Elephas maximus indicus: one gene and its partners. The protein of the gene in region 2 interacts with the protein of the main gene of each other region in a pairwise test. Links are inferred from orthologs where the notes say so. Each region holds a gene or a part of one and is shown on either strand. Other genes may lie near its edges.

Region 1 (9,858 bases), on a different chromosome or scaffold from region 2:
CAAAAAGTGGGGGTGTGGTCTGCTGTCCATTGAAAACAGAAAACAAAGCCAAAGAAAGTAAGTGTTCTATGTGAAGGGACAGAGGGAATTTCAGGATGTGCTAAAAAAAAAAATGTAGCTATTGAAAAGAGCAGAAAAAACTGGGATCTAGGTAACAGAGGACAAGCCAAACAGGCATAATTATTTAGCATACAATTTCCACAGATAGTAATGGCCAAGTACATTATTTTACCTAAGTAATTTTTAAATACCACAGATTCCAATAGTGGATTTTTTTAAGCCACCAAGTACAACTAAGACACACAATGAACATAATAAAACAGAGCGTCTAGATTTATGTCTCTTTGTAGAGACTACGCTTTTTTGATTCAAATTCTCCCAAAGGAAAAAAAAAAAAAACCCGCTGCTATCAACTTGATTCCAACTCATAGCGACCCTATAGGACAGAGTAGAACTGCTCCATAGGGTTTCCAACGGGCACCTGGTGGCTTCGAACTGGTTAGCAGCCAAGCTCTTAACCACTGCACTACCAGGGCTCCCAAAGAATTAATGATCTTTACTGAAATCACCCTGAAAAGGGTACATTACTGGTTCAAGGAAGATTTATCAGAGGAAGAAATGGAAGCTGAAAAGTAGTGAGTCATTAGTGGCTTAGGGGCTGACCAATCCAAATGAGAATAGTTAAAAGGGCTATGAGAGCTAAAATGTATAAAAGTATCTATGACCTAAACATTGGAGCTAGGAGCTCTTTCTTTTGATTAACTCAACTTTCTTATCCCTAGCTTGGAAATCAAGGCTTAATAGCCAGCTCTGGATAGCAAACCAGTATGATGAGAAAAACAGTACTGATGAGAAATGCAAAATACAGGTCTCATTTAAATTTAATTGAGATCATAATTTGTTAAATCATTTCTGAGGATAAGCCACATTAGGCCATTTTTAAAAATCAACTACCCCCAAAAAAGAAATACAATGGCCTGTATGTCAAAGGAAATAATGTTCTTGTTTGATTTCTCATTGATTTAATGATCACTGTGGCCATCTGGAAACCCTGGTGGCGTAGTGGTTAAGTGCTACAGCTGCTAACCAAAAGGTCAGCAGTTTGAATTCACCAGGTGCTCCTTGGAAACTCTGCGGGGCAGTTCTACTCTGTCCTATAGGGTCGCTATGAGTCAGAATTGACTCAATGGCAATGGGTTTGGTTTGTTTTTGTGGCCATCTAGACTCTTAAGAGAATTATTCTTTCTGGATGGTCAAGTTTTCTAGAGCTGCACTTCCTAACATTGTATCCAACAGCCACATGTGTTAGAAAAGGCAAAGTTATAGAAAATCTCATCATGATAAAAAATTCTAATGCACAGTATGGGCTACAAAAACTTCAAAGCATTCTACTAATAGTTTTTCCACAATGTAATTAATATTCATATGCACACAGGATAAAATACAGATCAGAATTTAGCATTTTTTCTTACTTTGGACAGTTGTTCCCAAAAGTCAGTTGTAGGTTAAAAAAAAAAAGGCAGTTATAGGTAAGAATCATTTGAAAAGTTTGTTAAATGCAGATCACTTAGAGAGAACTCCTAGAATGCTCACAATGAATATCCTAGGTAATTCTGGAAGTTTCTAAACCACATTTTGAGAAACACAGTGATTATGTATTAAAAATGCAATTACCAGTTCACCTATTCTAATTCTGCGGCTCATGAGATGATCAGAGATAAGAGACCTGATTTTCTTGTATTAATATGTGTATAGGCAAACCCTTGTCTCTCTCCAAAAGTACAAAATGTTTCACAAAGGCAAAAGGAGCTTTCAAAGTATAGTAGATCTGAAGAATGAGTACAGATGAAAAAAAATTCAAGGAGGTAGTTGCGCTAAAAACAGAACTAATCTTTTAAACAGAATATTGTAGAATATCTATGCAGAGTAGAAGCTATCTGGACATTTGACTCTGGAACCCTTAGACTCTGGGAATAACTCTGAATCATGAGCTAACGTGATGCAGCTGCTAAAGACCTAAATATTGCATATGAGTGCTAACTATGAACAAGGCACTAGGCTATGTGCAGAGTCGAGTAAAATATACTTTATGACTTCAAGGAACTCACAGTCTAGTGGGGGAAGACAGACAAAAAATAAGTTATTGTAATACAATAAACCAAAAACCAAACCCACTGCAGTTGAGTTGATTCTGAATCACGGTGACTCTACAGGACAGAGTAGAACTGCCCAAAAGGTTTCCAAGGAGTGGCTGGTGGATTCCAAACTGCTGACCTTTTGTTTACCAGCCCGAGCGCTTAACCACTGCGCCATCAGAGCTCCACCGTAATACAACAGCAAGTACCATCTGGGTTGAATCTTAAAAGCTGGGTAGCTCTAGGGTTGCTAGAGATATAGAAGAATGGCAATTAAAATGGAGAGAACAGCATGCCCAGTGAGTAGGGTAGAGAGAGGGCAGTGTAGTTGGAGAGAAGCGTGTAAAGGCATTCTGGATGGTTGAGATAAGACTATGGATGGCCCTGATACCTATTTAGAAAAGTCCCAAAATCCTTTAGGCTTTTGAGGAGAGGAATGATATGATAAGATCTGCATTTAGGAAGAACATTCTAACAGTTAGGCAGAAAATGGACTGCAGTGGGAAAAGAGGAGATGCTGGGAAGATGTGCTATGCTTGCCCATTTGGTTGCATGGAAGAAAAATTACACCTTGGTTGGCAATACTTCTTGCAAAAAGCTAAAAATTGAGAGAGAAGCACCTAAGAAAAAAGCTAAAAATCTGAAGAAAGAACATGAGTAGTGGTAGTGTTTAGAAGCCGCTGAGGATGCGATGATCCACCTTGACTGGCGATAGAGAAGACTACCAGTGATGAGTGTCAGAAGGAAAGTAAAAATTTTCAGCAGTCTGTTGAGCAGGCAGCTCTACACTATCTATGCCTTCTAAAGGCACGGACAATGGGATATCTGCTCTGGATAGCACATGAATAGGTAAATAGCTTCCTCGTTGCAGTGCCCTTAAAGATATAGAGCATATTACATAATAGTTTAGAGTGTGGGCTCTGGAAACAGACTTCCTGTGATCAAATCCAGATTCTGCAACTTACTAATTGTGTAACCTGGTAGGCAGGTTACTTAAACTCTGTGTCTCAGTTTTTTTAACCCTAAAATGGAAATAATACTACTACCTACCTCACAGGAGTGCTGTGAAGGTTGATGAGTTCATACATATAAGGTATTTATAACAGGGCTGGACACACAGTAAGCATTCAATAAATGTCAGCTATTTTTTTTATTTTTATTATTGCGTGTATGTGAGGGGGAGGGGCACACACACTTAACTGTGCTATGCTCAATAACCCTTCAAGGCATCAGTGCTATATGTAAGGGATGTCAATCAATATAATTTAGAAGCCCAATGGGCATCTGCAATATACAGATGCAGAGACAACATGCCTTACCTCTTATTCATAATGAATATCTCAAGTTCTTCCTGGAAAAAGGCAGACAGGAATAAGTTTTTAAATTTGTAAATATTCTCGGTGATCCCCTTAAGTAATCAAGTGCAAGCCAGCTCCAGCATGCTACTGGCTAGAGTATAATGACCCTTACATCCCCATCCATAAAACCAGCCCTTCACTCCCTTAAAACACATTCAAAGGCATACTGAAAGGAAAAATCATTAAGACAACCCAACTTTAGCTCCCTGAACAATCAGAACCTGGAAATCATCTCCCTCTCTAATTTCTCTTGGCCTGAAACACCAGACGGCAAAAAATGAATTATTTTGCAGACGAAAGAATTTTCTTTAACAAATCAAAAAATGCCAATTTCTTAAAAAGCCCCAATAAGCTCTTTTTCAGTTGTATTCAGAGTGCTTATTCCCAGAAAATGGAATGGAGTGAAGGGTGTTGGCCAGAGCTTCCAACTACATAGGAAATTTGCTACCTGAAACCAAGTTTAATATGGAGCTTTTTAATCATATGCCTTGTTTGCCCAGTTTTCCTCCCTTTAGCCCTGATCCAATTCCCCAAGTCCCCTCCTGTAATTTTTTCATGTCAAATTCTATTGAAGTTCAAAAAACAGTGAAGACACCTTCTATCATCCTCCTTTCCTTTTTTGCTAGAAGAATATAAGGATAGCTTTACTTTAAAATCTGTTCAAGTATAAAGATAGCATCCCAAATAAGGATAAATTCTAATTACACGGTATCTGAGACAATATATCCATCACCATCATCCTAAAAGTCCCATAAACAGGTCACACAAAGCTTGCCTTAGCTCCAACTCTTTTTCTTGACAACATTCTCAAATATTCACCATCAAATGCTAAAGAAGAGTTGCTACGGTGTCAACATCTAGTCATTTCCCCAGTAAAAAAAAAAAAACCAGTGCCATCGAGTCCAGTACATGGGATAAACCAAAATAAAAAACCAAACTCGTTGCTGTCGAGTCAATTCCGACTCACAGTGACCCCAGAGGATAGAGTAGAACTGTCCCATAGGGTTTCCAAGGAGTGGCTGGCTGGTGAATTTGAACTGTTGACATTTTTGGTTAGCAGCCTTAGCTTGTAACCACTAGTCTAATAATTCAGATCTAAAAATGACCCCATTCATGAATATGTTCCCTGAAGAGGTTTTAAAGAAAATTTTACCAGAAGTAATAATGTAGGTTTAAACAGTAAAATACATTCTGTCCCCTTCTTCAGTGGGACAGAATGTATTTTTTTTTCCTTTAAAACTAATGAATTTAAAATTGAGAAACCACTTGAGAATTTTAAAAGATGGGAACGCTAGTGTCCTTTTTTATATACAGATAGAAAGAAAAATGTGCAACTGAGCTGGCTGCTTAATTCAACACTATATATTTTTTCCATTGATTTTGATAAAATATTCTAATTTAAAAACATATAACACTTTATATCATGGCCAGTATTTTTAAAATACACATATTTTATGAAAATAATCTTATAAATCTATTGAGCAGATATTAAAAATATCTTATTTTAGATGGAAAACATTACATATTAACCTTTTGGATTAGACATTATTTTCCTTTCCAATAACTTCACAAGGCTCAACTCAGCTCATTATACCAATTCCAAATACCAGTGCTTTCTATATATCTGTAAAACTAATTTGAAGAGCAGTCACATATTAAAATATATGTTGGGTTAAAATGGTTTTGAAAAAATCCTGAGTCCTATCAAAGAATATTTTCTTTTTAAGTAATTGAGTGAACTTAGTCTTCTTCACTAGTAACTTAAGTCAAATTTACCCTGGACCCATCAATTCAGAGGCAACCTGGTGTAGATTCTTGAGTCAAGAAACCTACCAGTTTGGGTACTGCCACTTACTAGATGTGAGACCTTGAGCCAGTTACTTAACCTCTGAGTCTCAGTTTTCTTACCTATGAAACGGAGATCATAAAGCCCCTGACCTCACATGAGGTTGTGATGAGGAAGAACTGAGAAAGCGTATGTTAAATCACTATGTAAATGTTTTATACCACGTCCACTATGAGTCAATAATCAACAACTACACTGTAAGTAAAAATTGTCTTCTAATAGAGTAAAATCATGAAGGAGTTAAACATGTATTCACTATTAGCATACAAATAAAATTCAGTCATAAAAGCCACCTAGTTGGGTTTGATATTCATTAGATTAACCTAGAACTGAGAGATGGCAAGGAGATAATGCCACTAGTTTTTAAAACATAAACACTTATATGTTGGCATAGAGAAGTTCTTTCCAGATGTAGTAATTCTAGTAACATAACAAAGTCCAACATTTTTCAATGCCAGGAACATAAACCAGTAACACAGATCCATGAGAAGCCTCTAATTATTGAACAGATAATATTTTCCATGAGAATATATCTATTTACTGTTGTAATGGAGAAAAAGAGACATTCTCTAGTGTTAACCAGAAGAGAAAAACCTCAACAACCTCTCACATTAAAATGTACAGAGTTGGCTCTTCTGGAGTCAAGTATGCATTGGAGTATGGAGAAAACATCCAGCAAGCACAACTCTCCAACACTTAGCAAAACAAGCCAACCGATACCCAAAGAAGAAACTGAAGCTATAAATTCAAATAAATGGGCTGCAGGGAGACTACACAAACCTGCTGTTGCTTTAATTGCAGACAATTCAATTCAGCAGCTGTTGGTCCAGACACTAAGGTTCACTGTATGCTCTTCAGCATAACCTTGAAATTTGTCACTCACTCACTTCTCCACATCATCTGTATGCTGTCCAATTAATGAAGAGCGAAATCAACTGTCAAATTACCCATCAAAACAGAATATGATCTTGTAGCTCCTAAGGACAGGAGCACAATATTTTAAGGCCAATAAAGTGAGACTGAAGATGAAAGTCCTTCACAATACATGATATTTAAACTTATCAAAACATGTGGTTGTAGGAACTAAGCTACTGTTCTATTGAGCAAGAAAGTGAAACTTTCTCAGGATTTTTCATTTGTAAGGGTCCTTTCTGTCTTTGTAACTGCTGTTTAAGAAGGCTTTCAAAAAACATTCACCAACACCTGATCTGAGTCTTCAAGTTCTTCATTCTTATGGACCAATATATTTCTGAAAGCTTAACAGAATGCTTAAGGGATACTTCTGGTCCAACGGTATTTTACGATACAGATGGTTTGGAGCTGGCATGTTTAGCCTTGCTGTTTCCAGCACTTTTTCTACCAGCACAGTAAATAAACAACAATAATAGATAACGTTCACCAACCTGAGTTCAATAATGAAATAAAAATAAATTTGTCCAACAGACGAGTTCTGGAGTGCTTTCTATTTGAAGTTTCCTTACTCTAAACTATATCCCAAATCCAGATAACCAATTAACAAAGACAGGAGTTAAGAAACTCAAGAGCGACATAATACACTGTTTTAAAAATGCTCTTTGCTTCCATAGCGCTGTGTGTCTTCTGTGCAAGCACTTTTAAGCTATATCACATACTACCAGTTGCAGACATAAGACTTTAGAAATTCAATACAAGAATACAGCAGAGAAGCATGCACAATTAAGGGAGCAGGACTACCAATTTACCAGAAAACCCAGATTTTATACAACAATCTGCTACAAACATTATAGCTAGGGGCAGGCACGGTTTGTGCAGCTATTTTGTTTAGCTCATTAGAACCCTATTTGTCCTTCAGTACAGTTGAACTGGAGGAAAAATAAGAGTGAGAAATGCACTTTGAAACGAAAAAGAAATTTTGGATAAAAGAAGACATACTATACCTGTATATTGTACCAGGAACATTGTGACACTCTTCAGGGAACTGTTTCACGTTGTAACCTATTGCAAGTTATGCTCCCTTTACTCTCTTCTCCCCACAAAAAAAAATCCAGAGCACCCCAAACCCTCACTACATACTACCCATAACCCACACCCCCATTCAGGGGGGAAAAAAAAGCCAGCTACAATTCAGCTCAGATCCGATGCTTCTGTTTAGCTCAGCTCCAGCCGAGTAACTGAGCTCTAACAACGGAGCATAGGAAGGTGGATTCTGATGCCAGTAGCACTTCCATCCACTTCACTTACACAAAAGCAGGCAGTGGAAAATCCAGGAGCCTTGAAGACAAGGGCTGGAACTGGCTTTTATGAATTGCTATTACTGCATGTGTCACCATCCATCTCCAATGACGGACACTTATAGGCTGAATTGGGAGTGGAGGGGGTGGGGTGGAGGAGGTTGGAGAGCAGGTGGAGAAGCAATTAGCAGTATGTTCATCTGAGAATTCGTAAGGGATTTCATACATCAGTGCCTAAAGAAACAGCGTGCTGTTGACAAATCAGAACTTTACGATTTGCATGCCTTAGAAGAAATCTTAGCTCGCAGCCCCAAACAAAATAATGCTTGCCCACTCTGACAGGGCATACGAAGTCACCCCTCCACTTTCTCTTTCCTCCCAGCCACGCTTGTTCCTGCAAAATCAACATTCAGAATGAGTATTTGCTAACTTTCCCTAAAGAATTGTATTTAAAAGGTTGGAAGCAAAGGAAGTATAAAGAAATTAAATTCTATTGAACATGACATCTCTTAACAAAAAGGCAAGAAGCTAATTATTTTAAGCCAACTTTTCATCCCTAGTCCCATTCCCCAGGTGTAGCTTTCACACCTATAATCAGTGGATCACACAACTTTTGTGCATGTGTTTAACACTGAGAAAAATCTATGTCTGCCTAAAAATAGTTCCGTTAAAGTCAAGGTGAAAAGCTAAGAGGTGTGTGCAGGACTCACTTGACAGGTGACCTTAGAGAAGGCACTCATCTGCTAAACTGAAGCACATATTTTTGTAGAACTATTTCAAAATTAATCATGAGTAGGAGCAAAAAGGAGATAGTCTTTTAGGCAGGAAACGATGCAATTGAAAGAATACTGTGGCTGGGTATCAGGAAACCTTGGTTTAGCTTCCAGTTCCACAACTTTCTGTGTGACCCTGGGTGAGTCACTTAAGTCCTCAGAGCCTAAGTTCCCTTATTTATAAATTGGAGCTAACAGTACCTACCCTGACTGTTCCACAAGATTGCTATAAAGAGCCAATGAGCAAATGGATATAAAGACCCTTTTTAGCAAACTGTAAAGGGCTATATATAGGATTGTATGGGATTACTAGTATTGTTGGTAAAGTAGAGGATCAGCGAAAAAGAGGAAGACCCTCAACGAGATGGACTGACACAGTGGCTGAAACAATGGGCTCGTACATAGCAATGATTGTGAGGATGGCGCAGGACTGGGCAGTGTTTCATTCTGTTGTGCGTAGGGTCGCTATGAGTTGGAACTGACTTGATGGCACCTAACAACATTATTATTATTCCCTCAAACAAATTTTGCTTGAATGACTGATGTCAGGCATCTCAACCACATATGGAAAATTAAAAGAAAGGGCCAATATTATTTTATGAAACATTCTCCAGTTCCTCAAATTTTAAAATCAGAAGGAATCACTATTTGCTCCTAAAATTCCATAGGGGCTGAACTTGTGAAAAGAAAAAATTTAAAATCTAGTATATATCAAAAGCTTATTAAAGAGACTGAATCCCTCTAATTCCTTCTTTACTTTCTGGAAAGTCAGCCTATTTTTCTTTGTGTGGTCTAGTATTATGTCTCATCTAGTTGAGAATGCAAGTTTATTGGACAATGAGCATCTCCTTTTGTTAAATCTTTCTATTAACCTAGTACATCCTTACTGCCCAGTGTGTCAGGAAGGATTCGGGTTGATTAGCTAAATCTAAATCCACAAGGTAAAAAATCCAAAGTCATGCTTTATGAGGCTCTAAGCTGCCTTGATACTACATATACTGTGATCAGCTGGCTCCAACTGGGACACAATTTTAGCACATGAAGTCCTGGGGTGGCTACACCTGGGGTACTAAAAGATCCAGGCAATGTTTGGGGACCTTTGGTTCAGCCAAATCCCATATGTTCCGATGTCCATCTGTATGGTGCGCACCCATGTGCCTGTTCACATGGGCCAAATCTGAAGCAGCCAAAATAAAGGTGGGGGCTATAGCAGAAATATCAGATATCAGTTCCCCTTGGCCCTCTCCCATGCCATCTGTGCCCTCAAACAAGTTCCCAGCCCACTCCTTGTGAGAAGAAAGAAAACGTTTCCCAATTTCCCCTTGAACTTCACTGTCATTACTAAAAATGCCACACACACACACACACACATATATATACAAATCTATGTTAAATTAATGGGGGAAATGGATAATACAAATGATGAAGATTTCAGTGACTAGTAGCTACCAGCAAGAGAGTCAATGAAAGAGGGAAAGGCGAGGATGGAGAGGATTCACTTGCTGGGACCATCCACAAGGTTCTTCTAGAAAGTGC
Region 2 (10,537 bases):
TGTGCCAAGAGAGAAATAGGATCATAGGGTGGAGCATGACTGGCATGGGGGCTACTTTTGACAGGAGACACTGGGGAAGACCCTCTGAGGAGGGACCATTGAGCCTTCAAGGACAGGAAGGGGCCAGGACAAAGGTGTTCCAGGAAGAACCCCAGTAGAGGCAAAGGCCTGGAGGCAGGCATACTTTGGAGGCCAGTGTGGCTGGAATGGAGGGAGTAAGGGGTGAGGTCTGGAGGTACCAGGGTGGGGGCAGCGGGCAGGGGAGACACTTGTGATGGCAGAACAGCCCTGCCTGCAGACCCAGCTTCATCCCATCCCTCCCCACGCTCCCTGCCCTGGGGGCTGTGCACACACCGTAAATCTTAAAAGCGTAGTAGGCTTTGAGGTCACGGGGAGCCATCTCGCTCATCACAGAGAACATGTCCAGGAAGTTGTCAAAAGTCATGTGTCCGTCGCCATCCTCAGAGAAGACCTGGGCAATCCTCTGGCGGAAAGGGTTGTCCTGGGGATAAGAGGGAACCAGGGTCTCCAGGGGGCCACGTGGTCTCACTCTAAGCATCCACCTTCCCGGGAACTTCCACGTGTTCCCCCACCAATGTTCACTCCCTCCCACGGTCCCTGGAGAGGACTTCAGGCAACTTCACCCTCTACCTGTGTGGTCTGGGCAGTGTTGACCCACTTCTGGTTCCAGGGGTAGTACAGGACCCAGGGAAGGCCAATCAGAGCATTCCCTTTACCCGGCCACCATGATTGGCTCTGGGGTAGGCATGTGACCCAGACTGGCCAATGAAAGCCTGCCCTGGGACATTCTCAGGAAAATAGAGATGGATGGCTGCTTTCTGATGGTTGCGGAGCTGGCAGAGGATAGCATGGGTCACGGGGCAGGGGGCTCCCCTCACTATCTCAAGAGGAGAGGCTGATTGAAACTAAAGTCTCCTGGCAGGAAAGCAGCCAAGAAGTGGGAGGAGATTTCCGGGCACATCAAGATCGTGGTTCCAGCAGTACCTGAAAGTAGCCCTGCCCTGGATTATTTTTGTTTACATAAACTGATCTGTTCTGTCTCTCTTGAATGAGGTTTCTGTCACTTGTAATCAAATAATCTCAACTCAGTCAGTTACTAACCATACAACCCCCGTTCAGAGGCACAAATCATGGGTGAAACATCCACCTGAGAAGGACCTGCCTTTAACAGCTCTTTACTATGAAAAGACCACCATCTGTCAGTCACTTTGTTGTACTGTGGTGGCTTGTGTGTTGCTATGATGCTGGAAGTTATGCCACTGGTATTTCTAATACCAGAAGGGTCACTCATGGTGGACATGTTTCAGCAGCACTTCCAAACTAAGACAGACTAGGAAGAAAGACCTGGCAATCTACTTCTGAAACTTAGCCAACAAAAACTCTATGAATCACAGCAGAATATTGTCTAATATATTGCTAGAAGAGGAGCCCACTAGGTTGGAAGGCACTTGACCACAACAATGGATTCAAGCATACGAACAGTCGTGAAGATGGCACAGGATCAGGTAACGTTTCATTCTGTTGTGCTTGGGTCGCCATGAGTTGGGGGCTGAGTCAATGGCAACTGACAACAACAGCAACTCTGAAAAGAACTAACATTCCCTGACCACTTGCCACACAACATGCCCTTTACCTGTGTTATCTCATTCCATTCTCCCAACAATCCTGAGTTTGAATCCTGTCTCTGCCACTCTATGCTGTGGGACTTTGAACAAATGTCTTGCCCTCTCTGAGCCTCAGTGTCCACGTTTGTAAAAAGGAGGTCATTGTAGCACCCACCTCACAGGAATGTGTTACGGTACATCCTACTATTTTTTTTTCCCTGCTTGCCCTCTGGCCTGGGCGTACCTTCAGCTCAGGCATGCTGCCAATGAGCTCATAGGGCACCTTCACATCAGGGTAGCTGGTATAGTCGAGAGGGACGAGCTGGGGAGCCAGGTCCTGGTAGCGATAGAAGAGCCTAGTGTTGGAGGGAAACAGCAGGAAGGGCTGGGAGGTAGGAAGGGACATAGAACTCCACCCTCCTCTCTCATTATTGAAGCTACACACCCCACCTTGAAGAATGCTCTGCCCCCTGCCCCCCCAAGGGCCATCAGCCCTGGACCCAGCCCTTGAGCAGTCGGAGCCAGACACACACAACTCCACCTGCCTAGCACTACCTAGATTCTGAGGCCAGCTCGCCACTCAGTGCCCTCACCTGGTGATGCCATACTGTCATTGGGCATGCTGGGCAGCAGCCTTGTAGAAATCATCCTTCATGAGCCTGGGGCCCCCAAGCTTCTAGCAACTGTCTGTTAGGGGACACAAAAGCCCCTGATGGCTAGGTTCCCAGGCCTAGGGGAGCCTGGAGTGTGAGAAACATTCCAGGGAGTAGGAAGGGCTTCCTGGAGGTCAGGGCATTGGTGCTGGGCTTTGAAGTGAGAATAGGAGTTTACCAGGCAGATGGGATTGGCAGAAGGGAGGGTGTTTAAATCCTGATTTCACACCAAGCATTCAGAGAATCCGAGTTCATCTATGAATCTCTGGACATGTCACAGTGTCTGCAAGACCCTGCTTCTGAAGACCCCCATCTACATACCTCCCTTTCCTTCTTCTGTAACAGCAGGCTGGGTTCCCCCAACAGAGCATAGCAGAGCAGAGCAGAGAAAAAGGGCTCATGTGACCTTTCTCAAAAGGGCACAAGAAAGGCATTTTGGAAAACACCAGTGGAGGCCACATACACTGCCTCAGTTGTAAGACCAGCTCTCCACTCAGTGCCCTCAGCTGGTGATGCCATACCTTCATTGGGGCATACTGAGCAACAGCCTTCCAAAGGCCATCCTTGTTGAGTCTGGGGTCCCCAAGGCTCTAGCAACTGTCTCTTAGAGGGCACAGAGCCCCCTGGGTCATATAATGATTAGGAACTCACTGTGGGGGAGGTCTGAAACTTCAGTCCTAACCACCTAGACCCCTGCCTGTGTCCCTTCAGGGGACAGGCTGGGTTGGGGTTGCTGTGTGGCCTTGAGCAGGACTCTCTCCCCTTCTGGGCCTTGGTTAGTCTGTCCAAAAAAAGAGATGCTTGGGGCAAATGAACTGTTGGCCCTCTGCCCCTCTGCCCTGGGACTCAGAGTCAGCCCTAGCTAAGCCTCAGTTTCCCCATCAGTAATCTGATCATGATGGCCAGGGTGACCTGCGAGCTGTCCTCACCCAGACAATGGGACTTGCTGGCGAAAGGTGCTGCCATCAATAATGGATGTCCGTGCCCACACAATTGGGGCCTTGGCCCCGATCATGCTGCAGCCAAACCCTGGCCAGCTTGGGTTTCACAGCTCCAAGTTCATGGTCAGGGCCTCCAGACAATGGCCCCCCAGGCTGAGTGGTGACATGCCTGTACACCCTGGGCTCATGCCAGAGCCCTGCCTCAGGCTTGGGCCACCTCCCTGCTCTTGCACCTTGATGCCAACCCATAGCCCAGACCTGGCTCTGGCCTCCTGCTGGAGCTCCCAGCCTCCAGTCTCAGCCTCCACACACTGGCCTCCGAGGAGTCTTTCTTACACACTAACCGACCATGTCTTCTCCTGCTGTGGCTCCCCGGCACCCTTGGGAGAAGCCCAAGCCCACCAGCCTGGAAGCCACTGTAACATGATGAGATGGGACTTCTCAGCCTCCCCCCTCTGCCTCCTCCACTGACCATGCCTCCACCAGCCACCCCACATCAGCACTTTAACCTTGACGCAAAGCATCAAGCCAGTCAAATTACAAATATCCTCCAGAAGTGAGTAGTAAGTTGTTTCCAGGTCATAAGTGCTAATATGACAAGATGCAACTTCTCGGCCTCCCCTTCTCCGCCTCCATCCCCTGACCGTGCCTGTGCCACCCCCTCCCCACCATTAGCACTTTAACCTTGACAATGAGCCTGTCAAATTCCAAATCTCCTCCAGAATGAACAGAAAGGCGTTTCTATGTCTTCCCTCCTTCCTCACCAGACTGACCTCATGATCTCCTTCCTCGTGAAGAAGGTGCAGTCCTGTGGAGAGAGATGCTGGCTCAGCCCAGACCCTACTTCTGGGACTCACTTTCTCTTCTGCCAGCTCTCACCCCTCGGTGTCGGATGCTGCACCCAGAGCCGCACCATGAACCCAGGACGCGAGGATGCTGTCCCCATGTCTCAGGCCAGAGAACTGAGGCTGCCAAGCCCACCACGGGCCCAGCCCACTCCCTACCTGGTAGGCTTCCAGCTGCTCACGACTGAAGACCGTCTGCTTGTTGCCCATGGCGAGCACCACTTCCAGGCCCCTGGAATGAGTCCCCAAATTTTCTGGGTCTTCTCAGGGCCGGACGGGCTGCCAGGCTGCTGCACACCAGTGTCTGGGCAAATAACCCTGCCCTGCCTGTCACCTGCCCACCTGCCCGTCACCCCCAGCCTGGGTGAGACTCAAGTTACAGCAAGCTCTCCGGGCAACCACCTGAGTTTGTCCCCAGCCACCGGGGCAAGAAGGGCTGTGGGAGGTCACAGAGCAGCCCTCAGTGGGGGACCATGTCCATCACCACTAGGTGAGGCTGAGGATTTGGGACATCTTTGAGGGACAAGCAGGGTGGCAGAGAGGCTGTGGGTGCATCCTGGATCAAAGTCCAGTTCTCTGCTCACTAGCTGTGTGGCTTTGGGCAAGTTGCTTGACCTCTCTGAGCCTTGTAGGTAAAATGGAAATTTATTAGTACCTACCTGTTTTGGGGGGCCCGGAAACCTGGTGGTGTACTGGTTAAGTGCTACGACTGCTAACCAAAAGGTTAGCAGTTCAAATCCACCAGGCGCTCCTTGGAAACTCTATGGGGCAGTTCTACTCTGTCCTATAGGGTCGCTATGAGTCAGAATCGACTCGACGGCAACAGGTTTAGTTTTTGTATTTTTGGTTATGGAGGGCCCTGGTGGTGGTGCAGTGGTTAAGCATTTGACTGCTAACCAAAAGTTGGCAGTTCAAATCCACCAGCTGCTCCTTGGGAACATTATGGGGCAGTTCTACTCTGTCCTACAGGGTCACTATAAGTCAGAATCAACTCAGTGGTAACGGGTTTGGTTTTTTGGGTTTCACTTGTTATGTATTGAGTTACGTCTCCCCAAAAATATGTAGTGGAATTCTAACCCCTATACCTGTGGATATAATCCCATGTGGGAATAGAGATTTCTCTTATGTTAATGAAGTCGTATCAGTGTAGGGTGGGCCTTAAATGTAAAGACTTCTGAGATATAAAAAGAGCAGATTAGACACAGGGAGAAGCAAGCACAAGTGGAGAAAACATAGATGCCACGTGGAGATCACCAAGGAACTGAGGAACAAAGCTGAAAAGAGACAAGGACCTTTCCCCAAAGCCCACAGAGAGAGACTCTTCCCTAGAGCCAGTACCCTGAATTCGGACTTATAGACTGCTGAACTGTAAGAAAACAAATTTCTGTTCTTTAAAATCACCCACTTGTGTCTCAGGGAGCATCTAGGTCAACTGGCATAACATAGTTCATAAACAAAATGCTCTCCATCCTACTTTGGTGAGTAGCATCTGGGTTCTTAAAAGCTTGCAAGTGGCCACCTAAGATGCATCTCTTGGTCTCATCACGTTCAGAGCAAAAGAGAATGAAGAAAACCAAAGACATAAGGAAAATATTAGTCCAAAGGACTAATGGACCAGAAGAACCACAGCCTCCACCAGCCTGAGCCCAGAAGAACTAGATGGTACCTGGCCGCCAACACCAACTGCCCTGACAGGGATCACAGTAGAGGGTTCCAGGCACAGCTGGAGAAAAATTTAGAACAAAATTCAGATTCACCAAAAAAGACCAGATTTACTGGTCTGATAGTGACTGGAGGGCCCCCCTGAGACTCTGGCTCCCAGACACCCTGCTAACTCAAAACTGAAGCTGCTCCCAAAGTCCACCTTTCAACCAAAGATTAGACAGGCCTATAAAACAAACAAAAACAAAAGTGAGGAACCTGCTTCTCAGTTCAATCAAGTATACGAGACCAAATGGGCAACACTTGCCTAAAAGCAAAGACGAGAAGGCAGGAAGGGACAGGAAAACTGGATGAATGGACACTGAGAACTCAGGGTGGAAAGGGAAAGGGGAAGAGTGCTGACACATTGCCGGGATTACAACCAATGTCACAAAACAATTTCTGTATACAATTTTTGAATGAAAAACTAATTTGTACTGTAAACTTTCACCTAAAACACAATAAAAACAGAACACCATCCACTTGTGGTCTTTGTGTTACAGCAGCTCTAGGAAACTAAAACATCCCTTTTCCTTGAGAGTAGGCAGGATCTAGTGACTTGCTTCTAACCAATAAACAAAAAAAACAAAACCCGTTGCCGTTGAGTTGATTGAGACTCATGGCGACCCCATGTGTGTCAGAGTAGAACTGTGCTCCGTAGGGTTTTCTTGGCTGTAATCTTTATGGAAGCAGATCACCAGGCCTTTCTTCCACAATGCCACTCCTTGCAATATTGAACACCTTCTCATCCATTCTGTGATACACACTTCCTTACATTTTAACCCTTCCATGACCGTTGGAATATACGGTTGCCCACCCACTTTTTCCACCTCTTGGGTTCATTGGGAGCCTGCTTTCCCACTGACAGTGCATGCTGCCACAAGGCAGGGGCCTTTATGACTGTTTTAAACTGAAAAAATGGGTGTGTGCTGCAAATAATCGTTTCTATAGGGTGTTGTATGAGGTGTGTGCATTTTTGATAGGAGAAAGAAAAATTTTGAAAATTTTTCTTTGAGACACCATATGTCTTTCCGGACTCTAGGGAGCATCTGGGGTAGAATTAGTGGGACAATGTATGTCCCTCAGGACTTAGAGGGTAGGATTGTTGGAGGGGGTGGAAAAAAAAAAACCCCATACTACCTACCAAAACTTCATCAACACTCATTGATTCAGCATGCTTCCATTAATGAAAACACATGATATCAACAAAAAGTTCAAAGCAGAAAATATTTTGGGTCTTGAGATTAATATGTCTAAAATCAAAATGCATCTCATAAGTACTGTTGGCCCACTGTCCCTGCCTGCATGTGCACACATATTAAAAGCACCAGCTTCCAAACTCACAGAATGGAAGCCAATGGCTTGGAAAAAAATCCCCTAGGATGTAGAGGGTGGAGGTGTGTGGAATCACATGTGCTTCACTACATCCCGCAAGTGCTTGATGTCATTGCAAAGGTGGCTGGAAACCCCAGCCCCAGTGGCACTTAGTTCTTTTTCAGATTCTTTTTTTTTCCTAATAAACTTTTGATTTTGGATTAATTTTTTTTTTACAGAAAAGTTTCAGAGAATTCTCGTATACCCTTCATCCAGCTTCCCCTAATGTTAACATCTCACATGACTGCCACACATTTGTCATAACTAAGAAGTTAACAGTGTTACAATACTGTTAACTAAATTCCTGGGAGTCCCTGGGTGGCACAAACTGTTAAGTGCTCAACTAGCCAAAAGGTTGTTGGTTCGAACCCACCCAGAGGTGCCTTGGAAGACGAGCCTGGCAATCTCCTTCCAAAATGTCACAGCCTTAAAAACCCCATGGAGCACGTATGGGGTTGCCATAAGTTGGAATCAACTGAACGGCAATTAGCAACAATGACAACTAAATCCCAGACTTTTTGTGGTCTGAGATATTTCACTAGTTTTTCCAGTCATGTCCTTTTTCTCTTAGAATTCCATTCAGGATCCAGTGTTGTCCGGTCCTGTGCTGTCCTCACAATTGTTGGCTATGCTTGAGCCCATTGTTGCAGCCACTGTGTCAGTCCATCTTTCTCTTTTTCACTGACCCTCTCCTTTAACAAGCATGATGTCCTTCTCCAGGGACTGATCCCTCCTGATAACATGTCCAAAGTATGTGAGACGTAGTCTCACCATCCTTAAGAAAGGATGGAAAACCTTCAACAAGATGGATTGACACAGTGGCTGCAACGATGGGCTCAAGCATAAGAAAAATTGTGAGGATGATGCAGAACGAGGCAGTGTTTCGTTCTGTTGTATGTAAGGTCGGAACCAACTCAACAGCACCTAACAACAACAACAAAGCCATTAGCCTCTCCATCACCATCTGATGAGTCTTCAGCTGTGTCTGAAATACCACCTGGGGTGTCATCTGAGTCATCCCTTGGCTAAGTCATTGCCTGGGGCATCACCTGAGGCAAATGCCTTACAAGACAATGCTGAATGTTCTCAAAACACATCCCCACCACCTATTTTGGCTTCTAGACCTATAGACTTAAGTCCAAGTGAGCCCCAAAAGATAAAGTTCAAAATGTGACCCAGGAGGAGATATGCTACACTCCAAAAGAACTGTCTGACATTTCTAATATGTACAAACAGGAACCTGGGGAATATGTGTGAGAATGGCTATTAAGGGTGTGGGATAATAGTGCAAAAATATAAAAATGGATCAGTCTGGGTTTACTAATATGGGCCCACTAAGCACAGATTCTCCATTCAATGCTTCACCTTGAGAAGTTAGAAAAGGATCTAATAGTTTATTTGGTTGAGTGGCTGAAACTTAGATTACATGGTGGCCTACACTAAATCAAGTTGAAGTATCAGTCCCGCCTTAGTGTACTACAGAAGAGGATATGCAAAGACTTAAGGAAATTGGCATGTTAGAGTAGATTTATCAGGTTAGAGCAGCAAACCCACACATGGAGTGCCCAGAGGACACACCTTTTACCACAACAATGAGGAACAAATTTGTGAAGGGTGCCACAGCATCCTTGATGGCTGCTGTGATTGCTATTTTATGTAAGTCAGATTTGACAGTGGGAACTGCCCTAACTGAATTAAGACAGTTAATTACAATGGGGCTGATCAGACCACTTGGTGGTAGGGACCAAGTGGTGACAGTCAATCAACCAAGACAAGGGTATGATCACCATGATGGACAATGGAGTCAAAGCAGTAATCAGAATAGTCTAACTCGTATGAACTTCAGGCATTGGCTACTTAGTCATGGCGTTCCTGGGAGTGAGATAGATAGGAAGTACACTAAATATTTACTTGGTCTGTACAAGCAGAAGATTTCTAGGTCAAGTGAACAGCAGCATAACGCAAATCACCAGAATAGAGAGTCACAGCCCGTCAACCAATTCCCAGACTAAAGCCAGTTTACAGACCCACAATTCCTTGAATGAAGGCCAGGACCCCTTGAAGAAGGACCCAACAATACTGCAAAAAAATTTATACCGTTAATCTTTCTCCCAGCCTTCCCCAAAGGGATCTATGGCCTTTTATGAGAGTGACTCTTCACTGGGGAAAGGAAATAAATCAGTCTTTTTGGGGATTACTGGATAACACTAATTCCAGGAGACCCGAAACCTCACTGTGGCCTGCCAGTCAGAGTGGGAGCATATGGAGGTCAGGATATTAATGGAGCCTTAGCTCATGTCCATCTCATAAAAGGTCCAGTGGGTCCCTGAGCCCACCCCATAGTGATTTCCCCAGTCCCAGAATACATAATTGTAATAGCTATACTCAGTAACTGGCTGAACCCCCACACTGGATCTCTGACAAGTGGAGTAAGGGCTATTATGGTAGGAAAAGCTAAGTGGAAGCCAATAGAACTGCCCCTACCTAGGAAAATAATAATCCAAAAGCAATACCATGTTCCCGGAGGGGTTGCAGAGATTACTGCCACCACCAAGGACTTGAAGCATGCAGGGGTGGTGATTCTCACCATATCCACATTCGACTCACCTATTTTGCCTGTGTAAAAAGCAAATGGATCTTAGAGAATGACAGTGGTTTATTCCAAACTTAACCAGGTGGTGACTCCAATTGCAACTGCTGTTCCAGACACGGTCTCATTGCTTCAGCAAATTAATACATCTCCTGGCACCTGGTATGCAGCTGTTGATCTGGCTGATGTCTTTTTCTCCATGTTTCAAAAGACTACCAGAAGCAGTTTGCCTTCAGTTAGCCAGCCTAGAAGTATACCTTCAGTGTCCTACCTCAGGCCTATATCAACTCTCCAGCCCTATGTCATAATTTAGTCCACAGGGACTTTGATTGCCTTTCCCTTCCATAAGACATCACGCTAGTCCATTACATTGATGACATTATGCTGATTGGACCTAGAAAAGAAGAAGTGACAATGACTCTGGACTTATTGGTAAAACTTGTATGAGACCAAAAAAAAACCAAACCAAACCCACTGCCATCGAGTCAATTCCGACCGATGGCGACCCTATAGGGAAGAGTAGAACTGCCCGACAGGGTTTCCAAGGAGCGCCTGGTGAATTCGAACTGCCAATCTTTTGGTTAGCAGCGGTAGCTTTTAACCACTGCACCCAGGTTTCCATTTGCATGAGAAAGGGTGGGAAATTAATCGGACAAAAATTCAGGTGCCTTCCACCTCAGTGAAATTTCTGGGAGTCCAGTGGTGTGGGATATGTTGAGATATTCCTTCCTGCTAAAGTGAAGGATGAATTATTACATCTGGCTACTCCCACAACTAAATAGGAGGCACAACCCCTAGTGGGCCTCTT
Region 3 (9,637 bases), on a different chromosome or scaffold from region 2:
CGTCCAATCTGGTACCAGCAACCATCAGAAATACGCCCCTAAGATGTTGTAAACAGAGGGCATCGATGACCCCTGACCAACGGACAGATCTCCAGAGAGCCGAAGGTGCCCAGACTGGGCGCCAGGGGGCGTTGCTGAGCTCAGCCTAGGCTTCCAAGGTCTGGGTCCGGGGCCAAAGTGATCATCAATTCCATTGTCCAGGGTTCGAGTCAGGCGCCTCGCAGACCCTCAGCCTGGGCACCAGCTCCCTGCGGACTATTTCCACTTCCCTCCCCGGCCCGCCTCATCCACTTCCAGAAATGGGCATAACTTCCTCTGCTCCTCCAGGAAGCTCCACTCTGCCCGCCCCTTCCCGCCCGAGGGGCCGGCCCGAAGCTCTCCGTCGCCCCAGCTCCACCCCAGCCTCAGCCTCCCTAAAGCTTCCGGCCAGAGGGGAGCTACTGGGGCCGACAGTTTTGATTTCCCTCTATCGGCCCTGCTGCCGTTCCCCCTATTGAAGGGTCAGCCGGGCGCTCAGGCCACCGTCCAGCCCTCTAGCACTCACTCCCTGCCCCCGTCCAGCTGTCCCTGTGCCCCCTCCGCCCGGGCGCTGCCCTGCCCCCACAGCCGCCAGGAAGGACGCGGCCCGGGGCCCGTGCCAGGCCTCTGAGTGTGCGGCCCCGCCCAGCCGGGCCAGGAATGCGGCTGGACCGCGGGGGCGGCCGCAGACACCCGGCGCTCCGGCCAGCACGACACCGTCCCACAGGCAGGCAGGTGGCCCTAGCTCCCTTGGGCCTGGGTTTCTTCCAGAAGGAAAGCGCGACGGCCTGCCCCTGGGGGGCCGCTCAGTCCAGCCACTTAGCCTGGTGGCTTTATTTCGGAGTTTGCCTCCCAGGTATCCTACCCCCTGCCGGAAGAGAGATGTGAGACGGGGGAGTGGATTTCATTTTTTCAGAACTGGCTGGAGTCTCCCTTTCTTTCAGCATTTTCCTGGAGAGCTGTCTGTTCGTGCTCCTTGGAGAGGCTCCATCCAGCCTCGTGCTTTTATTTCTGGGCCATCTCGAAAACCCTCTTTAGCCCTCCAAAGGCACACAGGCTCCAGGTGGGGACTAGATTTCATTTTAAAAAGTGGCCTGGGGAGCCCCACCCACCCACCCAGTACACACACATACACACAGGCACATCAGAGAAACCTGGCTGAGTGTGTTCTGGGGAGCTGGTCTAGGGGGTCAGTGACCAGATCTAGATGGTTTGCTTTCTGGACCAATAAAGCAGTAGAACTTATAGTTTGAAGTCCACCTCCTCAAGTGACAACCTCCTGGAGCCTCAGTTTTCTCGTATGTAAAATGGGGGTATTAATAATGCCCATCTTATGGGTTTGTTATAAGGATTAAATGCGTTAACACGTGACAAGTGCTTAGAACTGTGCCAGGCACACAGTACATACTCAGTAAATGTTGTCGTACACTAGCCCAGACACAAAGAAAACACAGGCTTGAGATTTCCCAGGGCTGGTTTTAATTTCAAAAACTAATTGGGGTCTCTTCCCACATCAGGGAAGAAGTATCCCAGGCGATGACCCCAGGGGATTCAGTCCAGCACTGGGCCTGGTCCACCCACATTCCAACCACCAGGCCCTGTTATCCCATCACTAGGGCCAAACCTGGACTCCCCCTCCTGCCTGAAAGGGGAGGACGGATGTGAAGTTGTCCAGGACTGGATTTTGTCTCTCCAAACTGGCCCGTGCCCCTCTGTCTGTACCAGAGAAGCCAGCTGTGTCTGTCCAAGGAGAGCTGGTCCAGCCACCAGGCTCAGTTCAGCCACAATATAACCCTCCCAGCCCTGGGGGTCAGCGCCCCGGCCCTGGCGGCCGCTCCAGTGCCTGTTTGCCCACCAGCACGTCCATGAGGTAGTCCAGCTCAGCCTCGTCCAGCTCTGGAGTCGCCTCCTTGCCTGCACCCTCTACAGGGCCAGGTTTGAAGCCCTCAGAGGCTGGTGCCCAGAGTTCGCTGTCGTACATGGAGGTGTCGATGTCCTCAAATAGGCCCTCGAGTCCATCATCCAGCAGACAGCCAGTGGCTGGGCCCAGCAGATCCAAGGCACCCAGGCTGGGCGGGGCTCCCCCAGTGGGGCGGCCTAGTGGCCCCTCATCGGCCAGGGGCTGGGGGGCTTGGCTCAGGCCCTCAATGTGGCTGAGGTCCTCCAGAAGGCTGGCCATAGAGGCTGAGAGGGCAGCGTCTGAGCTGGCCAGCAGGCTGTCAGCCACTCCAGGGGCTACAGGTGGGCTGGGCACAGGTGGCAGGGCAGCCGCAGGTGCCATGGATGCCTGGATGCGTCGCAGTGTGTTCACAACTAGCACCAGGTGCCGCAGGTCCGGCTCACTCTGCCGCAGGCTGTGGTGGAGTTTGAGCACCGAGAGGTCAAAGAGGGAGCTGGAGGCCACGGTGGGGGGTGCCTGTGCTACGTCTGGGTGACCAGGATCCAGCCACCAGGCATCGACTGCCAGGGTTTCCTTCTCCTCCTCCTCCTCCCGCTTGCGCTTCAAGCCCTTGCTCAGCATCATCTATGGGGAGGAAGGAGTCTTTCAGTTATAGAAAGCAAACGTTCAAATCCTGGCTCTGACAATTGCTGACTGTGTGGCTTTGGGCAAGTCACTTAACCTCTCTTAAGTCACTTAACCTTAGGGAACTTTTCACATATGGTATTCACCTCATAGTTTTAAGGGTTAAATGAGATACAAAAAGGCTTACAACAGTGACTGGTACACAGTAATTACTTTTATTAACAAGTACTCTTAGAAATAACTATTATTTAGTTCTTCATTGAACTATATAAAATGGTCATTATCCAACTTTTTTTTAACTTACAGAAGTGGTTGTTTCACACAGTTAAATCTGGTGTTTACTGAATGCCTACTTTGTGTCAAATACAGGAAAATTACCAATAGTGCTAGGAAGACACTTAAAGATTCATGGTAGGGGGTGGTCAGGGAAGGGTCCTCGAGGAAGTGACAATTGAGACAAGAAGGGGTCAGCCATGGAAGAACCATGGAAGACAGAACAACAGCATGGGCAAAGAAAGGCCCGGAGGCTGGATAAGCTTGGACTGAAAAAGACTGGTGTGGCTGGTGCACACGGAGTGGGATGGCAGGCGATGAGGTGGGGGCAGTAGGAGGGGCCAGGTCACTGACGGCCATATAAGACAAGGTAAGGAGTTTGGCTTTCCTTGTGTGTTGGGAAGTCAGCGAAGGGTGTGCGCAGGGAGGGAAATGGTGTTTTCAGAAGATCCTCACAGGAACTGCAAGGAATAGTGTGTGTGTCCCGAAAAGCCACAGGCAGGCGGCTGTAACTCTTTGGGGCAAACGAAGGTGGCTGTGGACACGGAAGGAAGTTGACCGATTCAGGATATATTTGAGATGCAGAGCGGGGAAGACTTGCCGGGAAATCCTGACTGGGGAGTGGAAGCGCGTGGGGGGCGGGTGTGACAGAGAAGTTTCAGGACCCAGATCCTCCCCAGGTGGATCCCTGGATTTATGGACCCCTGGCCCGACTGCTTTTTTGACTCAGGCAGTTTGCAGGATCCATCCCTGGGGCCTTTGCCGAGCAGGACCTTAAGAGCGACCCCCATCCTATCCAAGACTGGGTCCTCTCCCTCTGTCCCACAGACCCTGGAGTCCGGAACCGCAGGAATTTAGCCCCCACCCCCGGCTCCGCCTCCGGGGCCCCGGCGCCCCCTAGCGGCGCCCAGGCCCGCATTCCCTCGGAGATTTCGGCCCCTCCGAACCCAGGACCCTTTACACCGCCCCGTGTCCGGGCTCTCGTTCCTGCCTGGCCCCCAGAGCCGTTCCGGCGGGCAGTTCTGCCCTCCGGGCCTCTTACTCGCTTCCGGAAGGCAGAGGAGGCGGCTCCTCCCGAAGCGGCGGCGGCGGGGGCGGGTGAGTCACGCAGCCGGAGCCAGGGAGCCGGCGCCTCCGCCCCCTTTTCGGGCTGCGGCGTGATTCACCCGGCCAGGCCAGGCGGGCGACACGTAGAGGCCCGTGAATCTAGATCTCGGGCAGCCCCGGCGCGCACCTGCCGGACTCGGGATCGAACCCTCCTACAGACCCCGCAGCCGGTTCTCCTTCTCTCCCCCGGTCTCTTCCCTTCATTTACATACCCAGTTCACCAGCTGCCAATCAGAACGAAGAGTTAGCCGCCCGCAGCCAATCAGGAAGCGGCGGCCGCAGCATCGCTCGCTTGCTCCGCTCCAGCAACCGGCGCCTAGGTCCGGAGACGGGGTTCTGACTCCGGCTCACAACTCCAGACTCCTGACTCCTCTTAGCTCCCGCCTACTTCCGTGGCGGCCCCACCCTCTACCTCACGGATTGGCCCTATGCGGTGGTGGGCGGAGCCTGTAAGGGGCAGGTTGGAAGGGAGGGGAGGTTAGCTTCAGAGCGCATGTTCCGGCGGCTGCGGGAGAGAAAGAGGCGTGGCTATTTGCCCTGAGGGATTGTGACGGGGAGGGGCTTTTGCGTATCGAAGTGCAAGCCCCTCACACCTACCCATGCGCCTGCTAAACCCAGCCCTTGAGTTCTTACCCACCCAGCTGCAACAGGGGTGTGCACGCTAGGCCTGGGTGCAAATTCTGGCTTACCACTCACTCATGCATGACATTGGAAAAATGCTTGACCTCTCTGAGCCACACACAGTTTTTTAAATGGGGCTCGTCATGGCTACCTCTTGAGAGTTGTGCTGAGAACTCGCGTTTCTAATAAGTTCCCAGGCGATGCTAATGCTGCTGGTTAGTGACCAATGCTGAGAACCACTGGTAGAGCAGTGGTTCTCAAAATTTATTATACATAAGAATCACCTGGGGAATTTATTAAAATATAGATTTTGATTTTTTGATTCAGTATATTTGGGGTGAAAATGCGAATTCTCGGCAGAAGTTCCAACCGGAACAACTGGTTTGAAGCCCTGCACTGAAGTCCTGGACTGCAATCCCTAAGTAGCTGTGTGACCTTAGGCAAATGTTTTAATCCCCAGAGTCTCAGCTTCCTCATCTTTAAAACCGGAGAAATAACAGCGTCTGGCTCTGGAGATTGTTTTGAGAATTAAACGATTTGTGCAAAATGCTCAAAGTGGCATGCAACATGTCCTTTTAAAGCAGTTGTAAATGAGCCCTGGTGGCGCGGTGGTTAAGCGTTCCGCTGCTAACCAAAAGGTCGGCGGTTCCAAACCACCAGCCGCTCCCGCGGAGAAAAATGTGGCAGTCGGCTCCTGTAAAGATTACAGCCTTGGAAACCCTGTAGGGGCAGTTCTACTCCGTCCTGTGCGGTCACTAAGAGTCGGAAACCACTGGATGGCAGGGCTTTTTAATAGCAGTTGTGGGAATAAAACCGAAAAATCCAAACCCAGTGCCGTCGAGTCGATTCCGACTCATAGCGACCATATAGGGCAGAGTAGAACTGCCCCATAGAGTTTCTGAGGAGCGCCTGGAGGATTCGAACTGGTGATTCTTTGGTTAGAATCCGTAGCACTTAACCACTAGGCCACCAGGGGTTGTGGGAATAGCACAGACCGTTTCTTCAAAGTGAGGGGACACGTTGAGGGGGGTTAAAGGTAGACAGGAGTTGAACTGACAATGGAATTTACCTTCTTCAGGTAGCTCATTTGCTAACATTTTAGGGGCTATGGGAAGGATTTTTTTTTTTTTTTTTTGGGAAGGATTAGGTTAACAAAAGCCCCCTGCTGTCGAGTCGATTCCCACTCATAGCGACCCTACAGGACAGAGTAGAACTGCCCCCACAGAGTTTCCAAGGAGTGCCTAGTGGATTCAAACTGCTGACCTCTTGGTTAGCAGCCAAAGCATTTAACCACTACACCACCAGGATTACATTAGTTACTGTAAATAAAGCTCCCAGCCAACGTAAGGAGCCCTGGTGGCACAGTGGTTAGGAGTTTTGCTGATAACCATAAAGGGCAGCAGTTCGAATCCACCAGCCTGCCCTTGGAAACCCTATGGGGTTGTTCTACTCTGTCTACAGGGTTGCTGTGAGTCAGAATTGACAGCAACAGTTTTTTTTTTTTTTTTTTTTTTAATGGGCCAAAGTAAGTGCTCAAAAATGCTAACTATGGTAATGGATTCAGGCAGGGATTATCAATAGATGCTCAAACCTTTAGAGGAAATACCGGCAGAGAATGGGATCCAAAGCATCACCCCACGGGTTACTTGCTAACTGCAAAAGGGAAAATATCCTTTATGGTGGAGAAATCTGCCTCCCTAATAGTGGGACACACTGACACTGGGTACCACCTGATACCGTGCACCAGGAAGCACACACATCCCCTGTGGAGTCTTCCTGCTACACTGCATAAGTCGAATCTCATCCAGCCTCTAGACCCAACATCCAGCTTATAGAGAACAGAGAGGAACAAAATAAACACAAACACAATCAGATGGATCTAGACTGTGGGACATTCTATAGAACAACTGGGCTGTTCCACCTGCAATTCCATGTTAAGAAGACCCAAAAAGGGAAGGGGGGATTGTTCTAGAATAAAAGGTACTGTGTAATTTCTTTTTTAATTTTATATATGTTGTTGAGAATATACACCACAGAACATACACCAATTCAACAGTTTCTACATGCACAATTCAGTGACATTGATTACTCTCTTCAAGTTGTGCAACCATTTTCACCCTCCTTTTCTGGGTTGTTCCTCCCCCATCACCATAAACTCACTCCCCCTAAGGTTCCTGTCTAATCTTTCCAGTTGCTGTTGTCAATTTGATCCCTTATAGATAGCTCTTATAGTGCTCAAGGCAGGCATTTTTTACTACTTCAGCTAAACTATTGTTTGGTTTTAAGAAGACTTTAGGGGATATTTTTGGTTCAAGGTTTAAAGATTATCTCAGGGCAATAGTTTCAGGGGACTATGTAATTTCTTTATTACAATCAAATTAGCATGCCAACTTTCATTTGAAAGAAAAAAGAAAGCAGCTATAAAAGATATTATTAGGATAATTGGATAAATTTGAATACGAGCTGGATATAGGTGATACTATGGAATTGCTAATTTTCTTAGGTGTGAGGTAGTATTGTGGGGAGTAGGTAAATATTCTTAAGAGGTGCCTTGCCTGCTGAGCTATTAAAAAAAAGGGGTAGAATATCACCAGGATCTCTGAACTTACTCTCCAATGGTCCAGCCAAAGAAAAACTATACATATATCCATATGTACATAAAGCAAACAGCAAACTGTTAACAATTATTAAGCCTAGGAAGGAGGGTATTCAGGTGTTCAGTGTGTTTTTTCCCTCATAATTTTCTATGCCCTTGAATTTTTTTTTAAGTAATATTTTATTGTTTTTGGTGAAAGTTTACACAGCAAATTAGGTTCCCATTTAACAATTATTATGCCAATTGTTCAGTGACATTGGTTACATTTCTCACAATGTGTCAACATTGTCATTAATTCCATTCTGGATGTCTTATATCCAGTAACTTGGTTTCTCTGTCCCCTTACCCTTTCATCTTTGCTTTAGAATAACTGTTGACCACTTGGTTTTATATAGATGATTTTCATAAATTTAAAATTTTTCATAAATAATAATAAAAAGAAGCATAAAATGCTATTTAGAATCAGGCAGGCCTCTGCTAGGCAAACTCACGTAATTTCACCCACAGCTCATTCTTATGGCCTGGGAAAAAGGAGGGTCAGACTTTCCAGGTGGCTTTTTTTTTGCTCCAGGTCATACACTGAAGAAGAATTCATAGGAATCATTTGATTAACATGTATTTATTGAGCCCTACTATGTGTTAGAAACCCTGGTGGCATAGTGCTTAAGTACTACAGCTGCTAACCAAGACGCTGGCAGTTCAAATCTGCCAGGCATTCCTCAGAAACTTTATGGGGCAGTACTACTCTGTCCTATAGGATCACTATAAGTCGGAATCGGCTCAATGGCAGTGGGTTTGGGTGTTCTTTTTTTTACTATGTGTTAAAGAGCCCTGATGGCACAGTGCTCAGCTGTGAACCGAAAGGTCAGAGGTTCCAACCTGCCTGCCACTCTGAGGGAGAAAAATGTAGCAGTCTGCTTCCATAAAGATTACAACCTTGGAAACCCTATGGAGCAGTTCTACTCTGTCCTAGAGTATAAGTCAGAAACCACAGGTTTTGTTAGTATGTGCTGGCACTGTTGTAGACCATGGAGGTACAGCACTGAATAAGTGTCCACAGTCTCTACTCTCACTGGTGGAGGTAGAGGATAGAAAGAGAAAATGAACACTGTAACAAAATGTTGTGGATTGATTCCTGTCCCCCAAAAATATTTGTATCAATTTGGCTAGGCCATGATGGCCAGGATTGGGTGATTGTCCACCATTTTGTCACCTGCTGTGATTTTCCAATGTGTTGTAAATCCTACCTCTATGATGTTAATGAGGCAGGATTAGAGGCAGTTATGTTAATGAGGCAGCACTCCATCTACAAAATTAGGCTGTGTTTTATGCCCATCTCTTTTGAGATCTAAAAGAGAGAAGTGATCAGAGAGACATGGGGACTTCATACCACCAAGAAGCAACAGCCAGGAGAAACAAGAGTGTGTCCTTTGGACCCCGGATCCCTGTGCTGAGAAGGTCCTCGGCAGGGAAAAATTGATGATGAGGACCTTTCCTCCAGAACCCGACAGAGAGAGAAAGCCTGCCCCTGAAGCTGACGCCCTGAATTTGGACTTCTAGCCTACTAACTGAGAGAATAAACTTGTTTGTTGAAGCCATCCACTTGTGGTATTTCTGTTATGGGTACACTAGATGACTAAGACACAAATGCATTCATTTATTCACCAATATTCATATATTGAGTGCCTACTGTGTGTCAGGGAGTCCTGACCACCAGCTGCTCCAAGGGAGAAACACGTGGCAGTCGGCTTCCTTAAAAAGATTGCAGCCTATGGGGCAGTTCTACTCTGCCCTATAGGGTCGCTAAGAGTCGGAATCCACTCGACGGCAAGGGTTACGGTCTATCAGGTACTGCCTCGAGGCACTGAAGATATAAAGAAAAATCCCTGATGGGAGGAGGTACTCTTATGAAGGTGATAATGAAAGGGGAAAGAAAAAGCAGAGAAGAGAAACGAAAGGGTGTTCAGGCTTAGACGGGTATTGGTGGTGGTGGGATTCTCTGCTGAGGTGACCGCTGAGCAAAGCCCTGATGAAATGAAAGCAGTGCGAAGCTCTGGAAGAAGCAAGTTCCAGGCCGAGAGGCGAGCGGTGCAAATGCCTGAGGTGGCCACGTGCTGTTTGCAGGGCAAGAAGGCCACTGTAGCCGGACTTGAGCTGCAGGAGAGGCCAGTGGAGTTAGCAGGTAGGTCTTCTAGGCCATTCTAAGCACCTTTGGGAAACCCTGTTAGTGTAGTGGTTAAGTCCTACGGGTGTTAACCAAAGGGTCAGCAGTTGGAATCCGCCAGGCGCTCCTTGGAAACTCTATGGGGCAGTTCTACTCTGTCCTATAGGGTCGCTATGAGTCGGAATCGACTCGACTGCAGTGGGTTTGGTGGTTTGGCTTTAAGCACCTTTGGTTTTTATTCTGAGGGGATGAGAAGACCCTGGAAGAGGAATTAGGAAGATAATTTCTGCTTCTGCTCAGTGGCTTGAAATAAAATAGGACAGGATAACAGAGC

The links.
Region 1: the proteins of CIB3 (region 2) and ENOX2 interact in binary tests that used the Homo sapiens proteins (3 or more experiments, as listed by UniProt). The two-hybrid records come from large-scale screens. The link is inferred for Elephas maximus indicus from reciprocal best matches to the Homo sapiens genes CIB3 and ENOX2.
Region 3: the proteins of CIB3 (region 2) and SERTAD1 interact in binary tests that used the Homo sapiens proteins (3 or more experiments, as listed by UniProt). The two-hybrid records come from large-scale screens. The link is inferred for Elephas maximus indicus from reciprocal best matches to the Homo sapiens genes CIB3 and SERTAD1.

What each region holds. Positions count from the first base shown.
Region 1 is NC_064846.1:25,303,233-25,313,090, reverse strand, and holds the start of ENOX2 (ecto-NOX disulfide-thiol exchanger 2), read right to left. Parts: upstream 4,699-9,858; 5' UTR 3,455-4,698; intron 1-3,454. UniProt on the Homo sapiens protein: May be involved in cell growth. Probably acts as a terminal oxidase of plasma electron transport from cytosolic NAD(P)H via hydroquinones to acceptors at the cell surface.
Region 2 is NC_064821.1:36,409,866-36,420,402, forward strand, and holds the start of CIB3 (calcium and integrin-binding family member 3), read right to left. Parts: upstream 4,275-10,537; coding exon 4,224-4,274; intron 4,028-4,223; coding exon 3,993-4,027; intron 1,982-3,992; coding exon 1,870-1,981; intron 503-1,869; coding exon 355-502; intron 1-354. UniProt on the Homo sapiens protein: Acts a an auxiliary subunit of the sensory mechanoelectrical transduction (MET) channel in hair cells. Plays a role in regulating hair cell MET channel localization and function.
Region 3 is NC_064829.1:111,231,682-111,241,318, reverse strand, and holds SERTAD1 (SERTA domain-containing protein 1), read right to left. Parts: upstream 4,284-9,637; 5' UTR 4,135-4,283; intron 2,543-4,134; coding exon 1,829-2,542; 3' UTR 1,475-1,828; downstream 1-1,474. UniProt on the Homo sapiens protein: Acts at E2F-responsive promoters as coregulator to integrate signals provided by PHD- and/or bromodomain-containing transcription factors. Stimulates E2F1/TFDP1 transcriptional activity.